Linked DNA regions of Callithrix jacchus. The protein of the gene in region 3 purifies or fractionates together with the protein of the main gene of each other region. This does not show direct contact. Links are inferred from orthologs where the notes say so. Each region holds a gene or a part of one and is shown on either strand. Other genes may lie near its edges. The genes, in order: WWOX, STAT5A and ERBB4.

Region 1 (3,650 bases), on a different chromosome or scaffold from region 3:
ATCCTCCAGACCTTCCTGTTGTTTCAGCAGAAGCGTTCTCTCCATCTTTCCAGAGTGGGCTTTCTCATGTGCTTGCTGGAATGGGCTGGAAACCATGGTGTTCATGAGAACGGATATGCAGAGAAGAACCTCTGTATATCATCTTCCATTCTCAAACACAGAGATACTCTCTGCCCACTAAGTAGTTGGTAACTACAGGGGAGCTAAGCACTGAGGACTAACGTAACTCACTGTAAGTAATGACAAAACATCTTAAGGTGAAATTAAACAATAGCCAATTTTCTGGTTTCTTTCTTTCACAGAAAATATGATGCTGGCATGCTAATCGCGTGAGACGGCTTGGCCCACGGACAGCCACAAAGCACAAAAACAAAACACAAACTCAGAAGAGACAAGGATCGTGTTTTCCTGGCGTCTACGAGAAGCGCTTTATTTTTCCTCTAGATTTCTTTTTTAACAAAAACGGAAACATTTAAAAACACAGTACAAACTGCAGGTGATCATCTTCAAGCCTGTTCTTTTATTAAGCATAGGTTGGGAGGCACAGGCGGACGTTTAAGCAGAAAGCCAAGGCAAGACAACAGACTGACTGATGGAAGGAATCAATATTCCTTGCTCTCCAGAATATCCTGTGTGTTCTTGAGGACACACACCTCCCTGCCTGTCAAGGTATCTAAGGAATGCTTTGAAAAATTTATTTTCTATAGACTTTAAAGAATTTTTTTGTGTAGCACTGGCAAAGGAGTCTATGACACGTACTTTGCCCCCCAGGAGCTCTGCCACTCCATCTTGGTGTCACGGCCATCCTGCCCAGCTGGGGCAAGTTTCTGAGAGTTGTCTCCCCAGCAATTGCCAAGCTGGCTCAGTATGGCCAGGATGCAAGAAACAATTATCTGCTGGATCGATGCAGCAAGGAGCAGTAAACACTTGCTTTTTCTTCCCTAAGTAGGAGACAGCACGCCCCTGGCTGCAGTGGTGACCATGCTGGAAGCTGGGTGAGTCAAGGGGACCCCAGGATACTGTCTAATAGTAAGAAAGAGAAAATTGCTTGTGCTTCTCCAGGGAGATAAAGAACCAGAACCCACCCAGGTTACTTTCAAACAAGCAGGCCACCACCAGAACGCAAAGAAACCTATGCTGAGCCCCAGAAAAGCACCTTTACCCCTAAAATTCCCTGCTTCCCATTCGTACTTAACATTCTTCATGCGGTTGGGACTGCTCTGATTTCCTTTCCTCTTGCGGATCTCTGTTAGAGGGACACGGAAACCCCCTAAGGTTGGAAGGGGTCCAGCCTCGGCAGTTCCGTGGGCGCACACGCAGAGCGGGTCTGTGCGCCCATGGTCTCGGAGCTCCGCTTAGCCGGACTGGCTGCCAAGCCGTTCTTGGATCAGCCTCTCGCTGAGCGCCCACAGGGCCCGGGCCGTCTCTTCGCTCTGCGCTTCTGGCGAGGGCATGCAGCGGCAGCAGTTGTTGAAATACATGCCTCCCAGACCCTCCAGTTCTGGGGCGGCAGCACAATAGACGGTCGTGGCAGCTCCCTGTTGCTGGGAATCAAAGAAGAAAGACAAACATGTTTTAAGAAGAGGAGTCATGGGATGGCATCAGCAAATCTCCCCCACTTGGTGGTTTCAGCTGGATCTTGGCATAGCAAAGGCTACTGGGCTGAAAGCACATGACTGAAAAGTATACTGTGACTATCCTGGAAAAACGAGTTCATAAACTCCGCTTGTAAAGCTGGTGTGACTTTTGACACCTCGTATAGAACAGGCTTGGAAAATAAATACATGTCGTGGCAGGCGCCTCGTCTACACAGGAAGGAAAACGATATCCTTCTGATAGTGCAAGAGCACATTCATCCAACCCCTCGACGTCTCAATGTAGAATGTCACTTGATACCAACTTGTTTGTAGAACCTTCTGTCTGACAAACCAACCACTCTTAATTATGGCCCATCAGGTAGAAAACCCAAGTGGAGCTGGTGCCAGATCCTCCCTTTATGCTCTGCCCACAGTGCTGCTAGGGGAACGGTGGGCAAGGCTGTGTTAAAACATTTAATGCACACACCCACATACTCCCCAGCATACATGACTATCTAGCACATCTCTTAATTCATCCAGAACCTATGAAAACTACTTTTTCCTAAATGTTGTATTTGTCCCGGATCTCCAACGGGACCATGGCTAAGCGGTCCATTTCCTCCCCGCCCACTTCAAGATGTAAGTTGCAAAGAGTACAGTTGATCACTTTTGATTCACCTTTTGAGTAACAGTTGGGGCTAGGGCTAGGGATGTGTGCACTGATGGTGCATCATATCATCTGTACTGACAAAATACAGTCAGGGATGCTGTAAAGAGGGCAAGAAATCACTTTGCTTTGCAAGCCATAATTAAAAATAATAGGCTGCTGTTCAGAGGGAGACATGGTCGGCACGTCTCTAATTTAAAACCAATACAGTTTATCTGGCATCTTATGATTATTTATGTGTTTCACAGCCCTAGCTGCATCCACTAATTTTCAGCTCATAGGGAGCAGGGTTGCAAAAGAGGACCAGACAAGATGATAACGGAAGGTAAGGCAGCCCCCACCAGGAAGACGGTAAGGAACTTTGATTGCGGGGGAAACGGCTTTCCGACCTCACCCGAAGTTTATCACTTTTTTTTTTTTTAACCTCTGCAGGGTTTTAACTCTGAGCATGCAGGGTGCTTAGGGGAGGACTTTCCCTCACATGGTTTGGTTTGCCATCACTATGCTTGTATTCTAGGGAGCCAGGGCCATTCTGAGAACCAGGGGCCCGTGGAAGGTGTTAACGACCTGAAGAAGGTGGATAAGGCAGACGTGGGTTTGCTGTTGCTTGCTTTTGGTTTCTTCAGTGTCAGGGTCTGTAGTTAATCTATGTTGGTCTGAAAATGGAATGGTCAAATGCAGTCAAGTGACATGACTCTGGCAGGGGTGTGGACAGTGCATGAGACGAGCACTTGGATTTCGAAAATAAGTGGCTGCTTGGTGATATCAGGGAAGTCCCAGTAACTAACTGATATGTCTTGAACTGACTTAAACAGTAACTGGTTACCGCCCCAGTCTCCTACCGTAACCACGCCCACTCCAAATAGCCAGATATTATCCTAGATTCAGCTAGTTCTTTTCCATTGATTTCTGTGGGTCAAGTCTAATGGAACAGAGTTCGTGTCATCCAACTTTCCTTTCACTGAATTATGATTCCTCATAACCCTCGGCTTAGCAGCTGGCACATGTATCTAAACAACTTCAAGAGGCCCATCTGACTCTTCTGCATCCCATGTGGGGAAAAGGGAAGCAGGCGTGCCTCTAAAGACAAACTGGAGAATGGAGATGCTCATCCAGCTAATTCAAGCCAAATATCACCTGAACTGAGCTAAGAATTCAGACCGAGATAGTGCTTTGCATGAACATCCAGCTCTCTGTCACAGATTTCCATTTTATGCTGCCAAAACCACCAGAGTGGCCCAGTGCCCGCGTGGTGAGAGAATCCAGCCCACTAATTTCAGTCCAGCAACCCCCCACGCCCACGCCGCAATGACTATACTATTCAGTATTGAAACGTCATGACACAGTGGCCTTTCAGTGTTCTGGTAATCCTAACACCAAAGGAGTCCACTAGGGAAAGCACAAAG
Region 2 (3,650 bases), on a different chromosome or scaffold from region 3:
ACTGCAGGCACAAGCCACCGCACCTGGCAGCCCTGCCTGATCTTTTAAAGCGCTGCAATGCAAGCTCAAAGGCAGTGAGAAGTTCATTCTTCTTCATCTTCACCCCAATCACATGGTAGGCACTCAGTAAACATTTTTTTTTTTTTTTTAAACAGAGTCTTGCTCTGTTGCTCAGGCTGGAGTGCAGAGGCACAATCTCGGCTCACTGCCACCTCTGTCTTCTGGGTTCAAGTGATTTTCTTGCCTCAGAGTAGTTGGAACTACAGATTCAAGTAGCTAGAGCTATAGGTGTGTGTCACCATGCCCTGCTAAGTTTTGTATTTTTAGTAGAGACGGGTTTTGCCATGTTGGCCAGGCTGGTCTCGAACTCCTGGCCTCAAGTGATCCGCCCGCCTCCACCTCCCAAAGTGCTAGAATTATAGGTGTGAGCCACTGCACCCGGCCTCAGTAAACATTTTTAATTGGATGACAAGGGATGGGGCCATGTCTTCCACATCACTCACTCACTCATTCACTCACCCACTGCATACATTGTGGGTGGCCTGTCCTGACACTGGACACTGCCTCCCCATTCTCTGCACACACGACTTCTCTGCCCTCTTTCCTCAGGACAAGGCACATGGGCTCTGCCTGAAAGTCCTCCCTCTCTCTGACTTCCCTCCCTACCTCCAATTCCACTGGGGGCCTAATACTGTCATTTCATTAGCCCTTCACCACGATCCTCGGAACACAGCCTCTGTTCCCTGTTGCATGGCTACAGTCTCTGCCTGCTCTGCTGGTCTAGGGGCTGGGCAAGGAGACAGCCCAGTTCTGTTGGGGTCACAGTTGCATCCTCAGTGCATAGCACAGGTTCTAAACACGGCAGTAATGCCGTATTTTGTGTGATCTTCTTGGAGACAGGTTCTCATTCTGTTGCCCAGGCTAGAGTGCCATGGTGGAATCATACCTCACTGTCATCTCAAACTCCTAGGCTTAAGCCATCCTACCACCTCTGCCTCCTGAGTAGCTGGTACTGCAGAGACTTGCACCACCACATCCAATTAATTTTAAATGTTTTTGTAGAGATGAGCGTCTCCCTATGTTGTCCAACTCAAACTTCTGGGCTGAAGTGATCTTCCCGCCTTGGCCACCCAATGTGCTAGGATTACAGGCCTGAGCTACCACATCTAGCCTAGCACCATACTTGTTGACCTACTATGTGCCAGACACAGGCAGGAAGGGCAGTGTCCATCTATCCTAGGCTTAATGATGGTTTGACATGATCGTTTGAATTTACAATGGTGCAAAGCGATACACTTTCAGGAGAAGGTGGTGTGATAGTCCTTCACAATGCTGGGCAATGAGCCTCACCTCTCCGGCAGCCACACCATCCCCAGGGTAAAGAGCTAGGCGTGGTGAATCACGCCTGTCATCTCAGTACTTTGGGAGGCTAAGGTGGGCAGACTCCATGAGTCCAGGAGTTCAAGACCAGCCTGGGTGACATGGTGAACTAGGAAACAAGACATGTCTGGATGCGAGGACAGAGAGAGGAGGTGCGCGTTCCCTACACATGAGCCTGGGCAGGGGCGGGGAGAGGCACAATTACTTGCGGGTGTTCTCGTTCTTGAGCAGAGACTTGGCCTGCTGCTCACTGATGATGGTCGCCTTCACCTGCGGGGGGTTCATGTGCACGTTCAGCTTCCCGCCCACCAGCAGGCGCACGGTGGCTGCAAACTTGGTCTGGGTCTTCAGGACCTGAGGGGGCTGCTTCTCAATGATGAATGTGCTGCAGGGGACACAGGGACGGATGCACGATGAGGGGCTGGCTCAGGGGAAAGGGGTCTCGGTCCCTCTGTGGTGGGAGTGGGGCTGCCTCCTGAGGGGCTCAGCAGGTGAGGAAGAGCACAGCACAGGGTCTGTTCCCAAGGAAGCCATGAGAGTCCAGGAAGAGGCCGGAGAGGGGGAGTGAGATGAACACAGCAGCCGGCATGGGATGCCACCCAAGGGCATCCCTTGCAGTGTCTACAAGAGAAACTGGGCAAGGGCGGTGCCCAGCAGCCACAGTAACTGGAGACGGAGTGGGGAGGGATGAGAGGCAAAGAGAGACAAGGATGAAGGTGAAGCTGCTGGTCTGGAAAGCACCTGCGGCCCCCCACACGCCCACCCCATGGGAGCTGCCCCAAGCCCCTGGGCATGGCCAACAGGCAGCCGTCACCTGGTCACCAGGGCTGAGATGATGTCCGTGATGGTGGCGTTGACCTCGGCCAGCATCTCCTCCACTGGGCCGGGGATGGGCAGCTGCTGGCAGAGGTGCTCAGCCCTGCGGATCTGCTGCCGGTTCTGCCAGATGATCTCGGCCAACTTCTCACACCTGCACGGAGCCCCAGGGCCAATAGGAGGACAGTGGCTTCTCTGCACAGAGTCCAGGCCACAGCCCAGCCCCAAGACACGGCTCCTCCTCCCACAGGAACGTCTCCCCCAGGAAGGCTCTGTGCTTTCCCCACACTTCCCACCCACAGCAAGAGCAGAGCTCCCTGCCTCAAAGAATTAGAGACTTTCACAGGAGGGGACCCTGACTAGGCCCAACCAGCCTGAACGCCACTCTGCACACCCGAGCCCTGTCCTACCCCCAGGACAGCAGTCCCCTTCCTGGGGAAGGTGGCACAGGATGGCGGACCAAAGTCTGAATCAGGACCCAGGCCCCTACAGAAACAAGAGCTGTCCCAGGACGGAGGGGGCCTGCTGCAGGAGCCAGCGCAGGAGGCAGAAGCAGTCGGGGTCCCTGCAGCCCCTCCTGCCCTGCCCGCTGGCCACCCCACACTGTTACCAGGACTGTAGCATGTCCAGGCTGCCCTCGGGGGGCCCGCCGTTCCCGGCCAGCTGCTGCCGCCGCTTCCACTGGATCAGCTCGTCATCCAGGATGATGGTCTGTTGCTTCCGCAGCAGCTGCAGGGTCTTCTGGTGCTTCTCGGCCAGCTCCTGAGGGAGGGAGGAGAACAGCCCCTTCTGGGCTCCCAGAGAACCCCACGGGGCCTTGCTGGGAAATGGCAGGGCAGGGCCCAGCCCCTTCTCTCTCCCCAAGCTGCTTTGCCTCACATGGCCCCAGGTAAAAAGGCCTCCTGCCCTCCCAGGTTCTGCTCTCATCCCGGTCCCAGCCCTCCCTCGGGTCCCCAGAGACTGGCTTTGTGGCACCCATGCCCAGGAGAGGCCCAGGACCCCACTCACCAGGCGGTACTGCTGTAGCGTCTGTGCCTCGCGCTGCAGCCAGGCCTCCAGGGACACCTGCTTCTGCTGGAGCGCTGTCTCCCGGCTCAGACGCTCCTGGGGGCTCAGCTGGCCCAGCGTGGCAAACTGAGCTAGAGGAGGGGACAGGGCACCATGACCGTCACCTCCCAGCATCCAACAGGAGGCCCAGAGGAGCCCACACGCTTGTTCTGGAGCGAGACCCTCCTGGGCTCAGACGCTGCATCAAGGGCAAGTCAGGGTTCCTAACAGCCAGGGGCGCCAAGATGAATGTATGCCTCAGGAGGCACCTCTGGGCCCTACTTGACAGCCTCCTGACTCTGAGTGTCCCTTCTGGGGGCACATGGGGTGCTGGGGCAGCTGGAGAGGAGTCCTGCCTGTCACCTGCTCACCCATCCCACAGGGTTGCCAGCCCTCTTCTCATGGCC
Region 3 (3,650 bases):
TTTGCTTGGTTTGGCATTTCCACAGTCTTTATCTTAGCTCTTTTTTTAAAAAAACGTACTTAAATTAGTTAATTTGCTGGTTGCTTCCATATTGCTTGATTCAAAATCCAAAACGGAGTTCAGAAAAAGAACAAATAAAATTACAGCTTAAGTGCAAACTACGTTTCTGAGTATTTGCCAGGTAGACATACCCAGTCCAGTGTGTTTCTTCCAGTTCAATAGATTCCCTCATTGGACCACCCCTGAAAATATCAGTAGTTTTCTTGAACTACAGAAACTAAGAGAACTGTCTCTTAGTTTCCCTTTTATACTTCAGACAACCAACTGCTTATCAAATACTGTCATTTATGGAGAAAAAAAATGTTGAAAAATGTAAAGGATGAAGGTGAAGATAATTTGATAGCATGAAAAATGAAAGCTAAAATAAAAAAATATTAGCCTCCCTTTCTTATTTTAAAAATTGTGTACTTAAAATAGTGGCCATTTTACCATATTAAAATATTTCTTGCTTAAATTCTGTGAAGAAGCTTTGACATAAACATCTTTGCAATTAGAAATTAAAGCCAAAAATTGGGGAGCAACTATATAAAGGAATTGGTCAGAGCAAAACAAAGTGGAAAAAAAAAGCCTTCAAAACATAATTAATAGTTATATTTTTTATGACTATTTTTAAATTATAAGCTGGGTTGGCCATTCTTACTTGCTAGGACAGAAACTGTTGGAGAAAAAAATTGGTTTCTCAATCTCCGATATTATCATATGTTATAGAAAATGTTATTTTTTTGTTCTAATGAAAACTTTATTATAATTTCCAGGGATGCTCAGTATGTACACATCAGTTCCTGCAGATAGGAACAGATAACATAGGTGTTTCAACCATCTGCTTAAAAAAAAAAAAAAAGAAACAAGAAAAAAGAAGTGACAGCTAGTTTGATAGTAGGCGGTATTGCCTTATATTTTCTGGTCCTTCTCTAGCTGTTTCATTCTGACCAACCCATGCAGAGAAATGAAGAAACACTGTGGTTCCTCCTATCTTTCTCTTTCAGTCTTTCCCTCTAATGTTCAAGATAGATAAGCACATAACTATCATTGCATCTCTATATCTTCCACTGGGAAGTGTCAAAACTACTGGCCTTGGAGTAGAAGGAAGACCACCAGAGAAAGAGAGGGGGGTGGGGAAACTGGAGCTGTGTGTGTGTCTCCTCCTAAAAATAACAACTGAGCTTACACCACAGTATTCCGGTGTCTGTAAGGTGGAGGTGGCAGCACAGTGCCTGGCTTCAGGGAGAACTCAGAGAGGTATTCAGGATTCTCTGCCACAATAGGCCGGATCCGCCCATTCTGTTTATAAAAATATTTTGTGCTGTACTCCTGCAGGTAGTCTGGGTGCTGGAGGGTGCTCCGAGGTGGCAAGCTGTGGTTCCAGTAGTCAGGGTTGTCAAACGCTTTCTTGGCCTTCTCTGGCACTGACAGTACATTGTTCTTTAGGTACTCAGCTTTTCCCAAGGCATTGGCAAAGGTGTTGAGGTACAGCGGCTCATTCACATACTCATCCTCGGCCTTGGATGGACCATTGGATGCGTTGTGATATTCGGGATTATCCAATGCTTGAAGGTCTCCATTTTTTCTTCGAGAAACAAAAGGGTTCTCCTCCACTGGATTCAGGTATTCTAAAGGAATAAAAAAAAATCCGCTAACCTCAACTTTCTGGAAAATACTAATCAGACCAAAGTTATACATAATGATTAGCTTCTTTGTCTAGAACAACAACAACAAAAAAATACAGACTTGTTTTCAGGATTTCTCAAAACAATTATTTGTGGATTACTATTGCCATATGAAAAAAGTGGACCAAAAATGTTTATAACAAAACAAGAAGCCAATGAGACCAGAATCAGAATTTCTATCTCCAAAATTTTTCTTTCCTTCTAATTGCATCTGTTTCTTTTGCATATGGGGCCAGTTGTTTAAATGTTTTTGTTTTCTAAAATGTATTTATATTAGGAATAAGACTACTTCTTCAAATTAAATAACCTTTAAATATACAGACAACTTATTTCTATAAAGGATATTGAAAAACTAAAGAGTCTATAGCTTTTTTCCATGCCAAGATGAATAGATGGAGTGAAGAAATCATGTTTTTTAGTATCTAGTTTTGCTATGATTGTCTATACTGGTAACAAGGATTTGATTGGAGATGATCCTGAAAAACTTTTCACACATGGGAAAGAAAGCATCAAAGGAAAAAAAAAAAAAGAAGCAAACCTAACAGGTATCTAAAATGCCTCTAGTTGACTTGCTTGACATTACATGTACTTCTACTTAATAATAAAGTATAATTATATTTCCACTGAACAATCATAATCATAAAATAGCATACTATTAGCTTGAATCATATAAAACAGCGATTTTGTACACTGAAACCAGCCATTAGCACCTATTTTATATGGATCAATCTATAAATCCATCTAGTACAGGTATTGGTCTAAAAGGTGCAAATAATTATTGCCATTCTCCTGAAGTTTAATTTTACCTTTGTGTCTCTAATATAGACTGCAGGTAGACATACACACACATATATTGTAGGTCCTCTATTAGTCCTCTCTTACTATATATACAAAACACTGAGCTATTTCTATTTTGGATTTGAGGCATCAAGAGGGGACAATTGTTTGTTGAGAGGCCATTCTGAAACAAACTTTATCTCTTAGTCTTATCCCAACAAGCAGAGAGAAAAATCCTATTAGGCCAGGGTTATTTTTCTCCAAATATATGTATGCTGAATAGGTAAGCATTTAGCATCACTTATTAAATTTAAAGGGCAATAATGAATATCCCACTATCATACATAGGCCTTTAAAATATACTATCATTTCATCTTAGCAATTCTGTGAAAAAGAAAGTACAAGACTTATTTTTCCAGCTTTGTAGACAGAAAAATGAGATTAAATGATGTATGCAGGATACAATTAGTGTTGGGATAGAATTCAGGTCTTGTTACTCCTCTTGCATAATCTTCTTATTCTACCACACTGTTTTTTATTATTGCCCTTGCAGGCGTTGGGTGAACTTAATGCTTCGTAACAAGTTTTAATTTGACAAATGTATGAAAACACTTGTAAGGAATGCAGAATTTGATCTTTCTTACCAGATTCCTAAAACATCTTAATTGAAAGTATGGAAATGTCTATACTAAAATTCTGTACTCTCTGAGCACTAGGTTAGACTATAGCAACGTTTTATATAAATGGAGCTTAGTGTTCAGAGATAAAATCTGGGAATACTCTGTCTGGGAATACAGTGTGACTAGACAGACTGACTTGCTTTTCTCTTAGCCTTATATTACCTTTACACAGTGCAATCTACTTATATATTGTCCTGATGCAAACTTATATAACTGTCCAATAACTTTGCAGTTGAGGTGCAAATCTTCCCGAAAAGATTCTTCTTTGGGGGGAATCTGCCAAATCTTCACAAAACCTACATTTGTGTCATTACTGGGCTGCAATGAACATCCAAACTTTTCATCACATTTTTATATATATATAAAAGTTTTATATATGTAAAAGTTTTATCTAGACAGATGTATTTTAATAGGTTACTTACAATTAGGGTTCTCTAAATTTTACTTTAAAGGAGAGAACATAACC

What was found.
Region 1: the proteins of ERBB4 (region 3) and WWOX purify together in Homo sapiens (affinity purification with western blotting; 4 studies listed by BioGRID). This does not show direct contact. The link is inferred for Callithrix jacchus from reciprocal best matches to the Homo sapiens genes ERBB4 and WWOX.
Region 2: the proteins of ERBB4 (region 3) and STAT5A purify together in Homo sapiens (affinity purification with western blotting; 3 studies listed by BioGRID, with this or other methods). This does not show direct contact. The link is inferred for Callithrix jacchus from reciprocal best matches to the Homo sapiens genes ERBB4 and STAT5A.

What each region holds. Positions count from the first base shown.
Region 1 is NC_133521.1:36,741,474-36,745,123, reverse strand, and holds the end of WWOX (WW domain-containing oxidoreductase), read right to left. Parts: exon of another isoform or gene 1,545-3,650; coding exon 1,356-1,544; 3' UTR 399-1,355; downstream 1-398. UniProt on the Homo sapiens protein: Putative oxidoreductase. Acts as a tumor suppressor and plays a role in apoptosis. Required for normal bone development. May function synergistically with p53/TP53 to control genotoxic stress-induced cell death.
Region 2 is NC_133506.1:121,727,462-121,731,111, reverse strand, and holds part of STAT5A (signal transducer and activator of transcription 5A), read right to left. Parts: intron 3,336-3,650; coding exon 3,205-3,335; intron 2,959-3,204; coding exon 2,807-2,958; intron 2,351-2,806; coding exon 2,195-2,350; intron 1,766-2,194; coding exon 1,586-1,765; intron 1-1,585. UniProt on the Homo sapiens protein: Carries out a dual function: signal transduction and activation of transcription. Mediates cellular responses to the cytokine KITLG/SCF and other growth factors. Mediates cellular responses to ERBB4.
Region 3 is NC_133507.1:133,033,689-133,037,338, forward strand, and holds part of ERBB4 (receptor tyrosine-protein kinase erbB-4), read right to left. Parts: intron 1,671-3,650; coding exon 1,225-1,670; 3' UTR 1-1,224. UniProt on the Homo sapiens protein: Tyrosine-protein kinase that plays an essential role as cell surface receptor for neuregulins and EGF family members and regulates development of the heart, the central nervous system and the mammary gland, gene transcription, cell proliferation, differentiation, migration and apoptosis.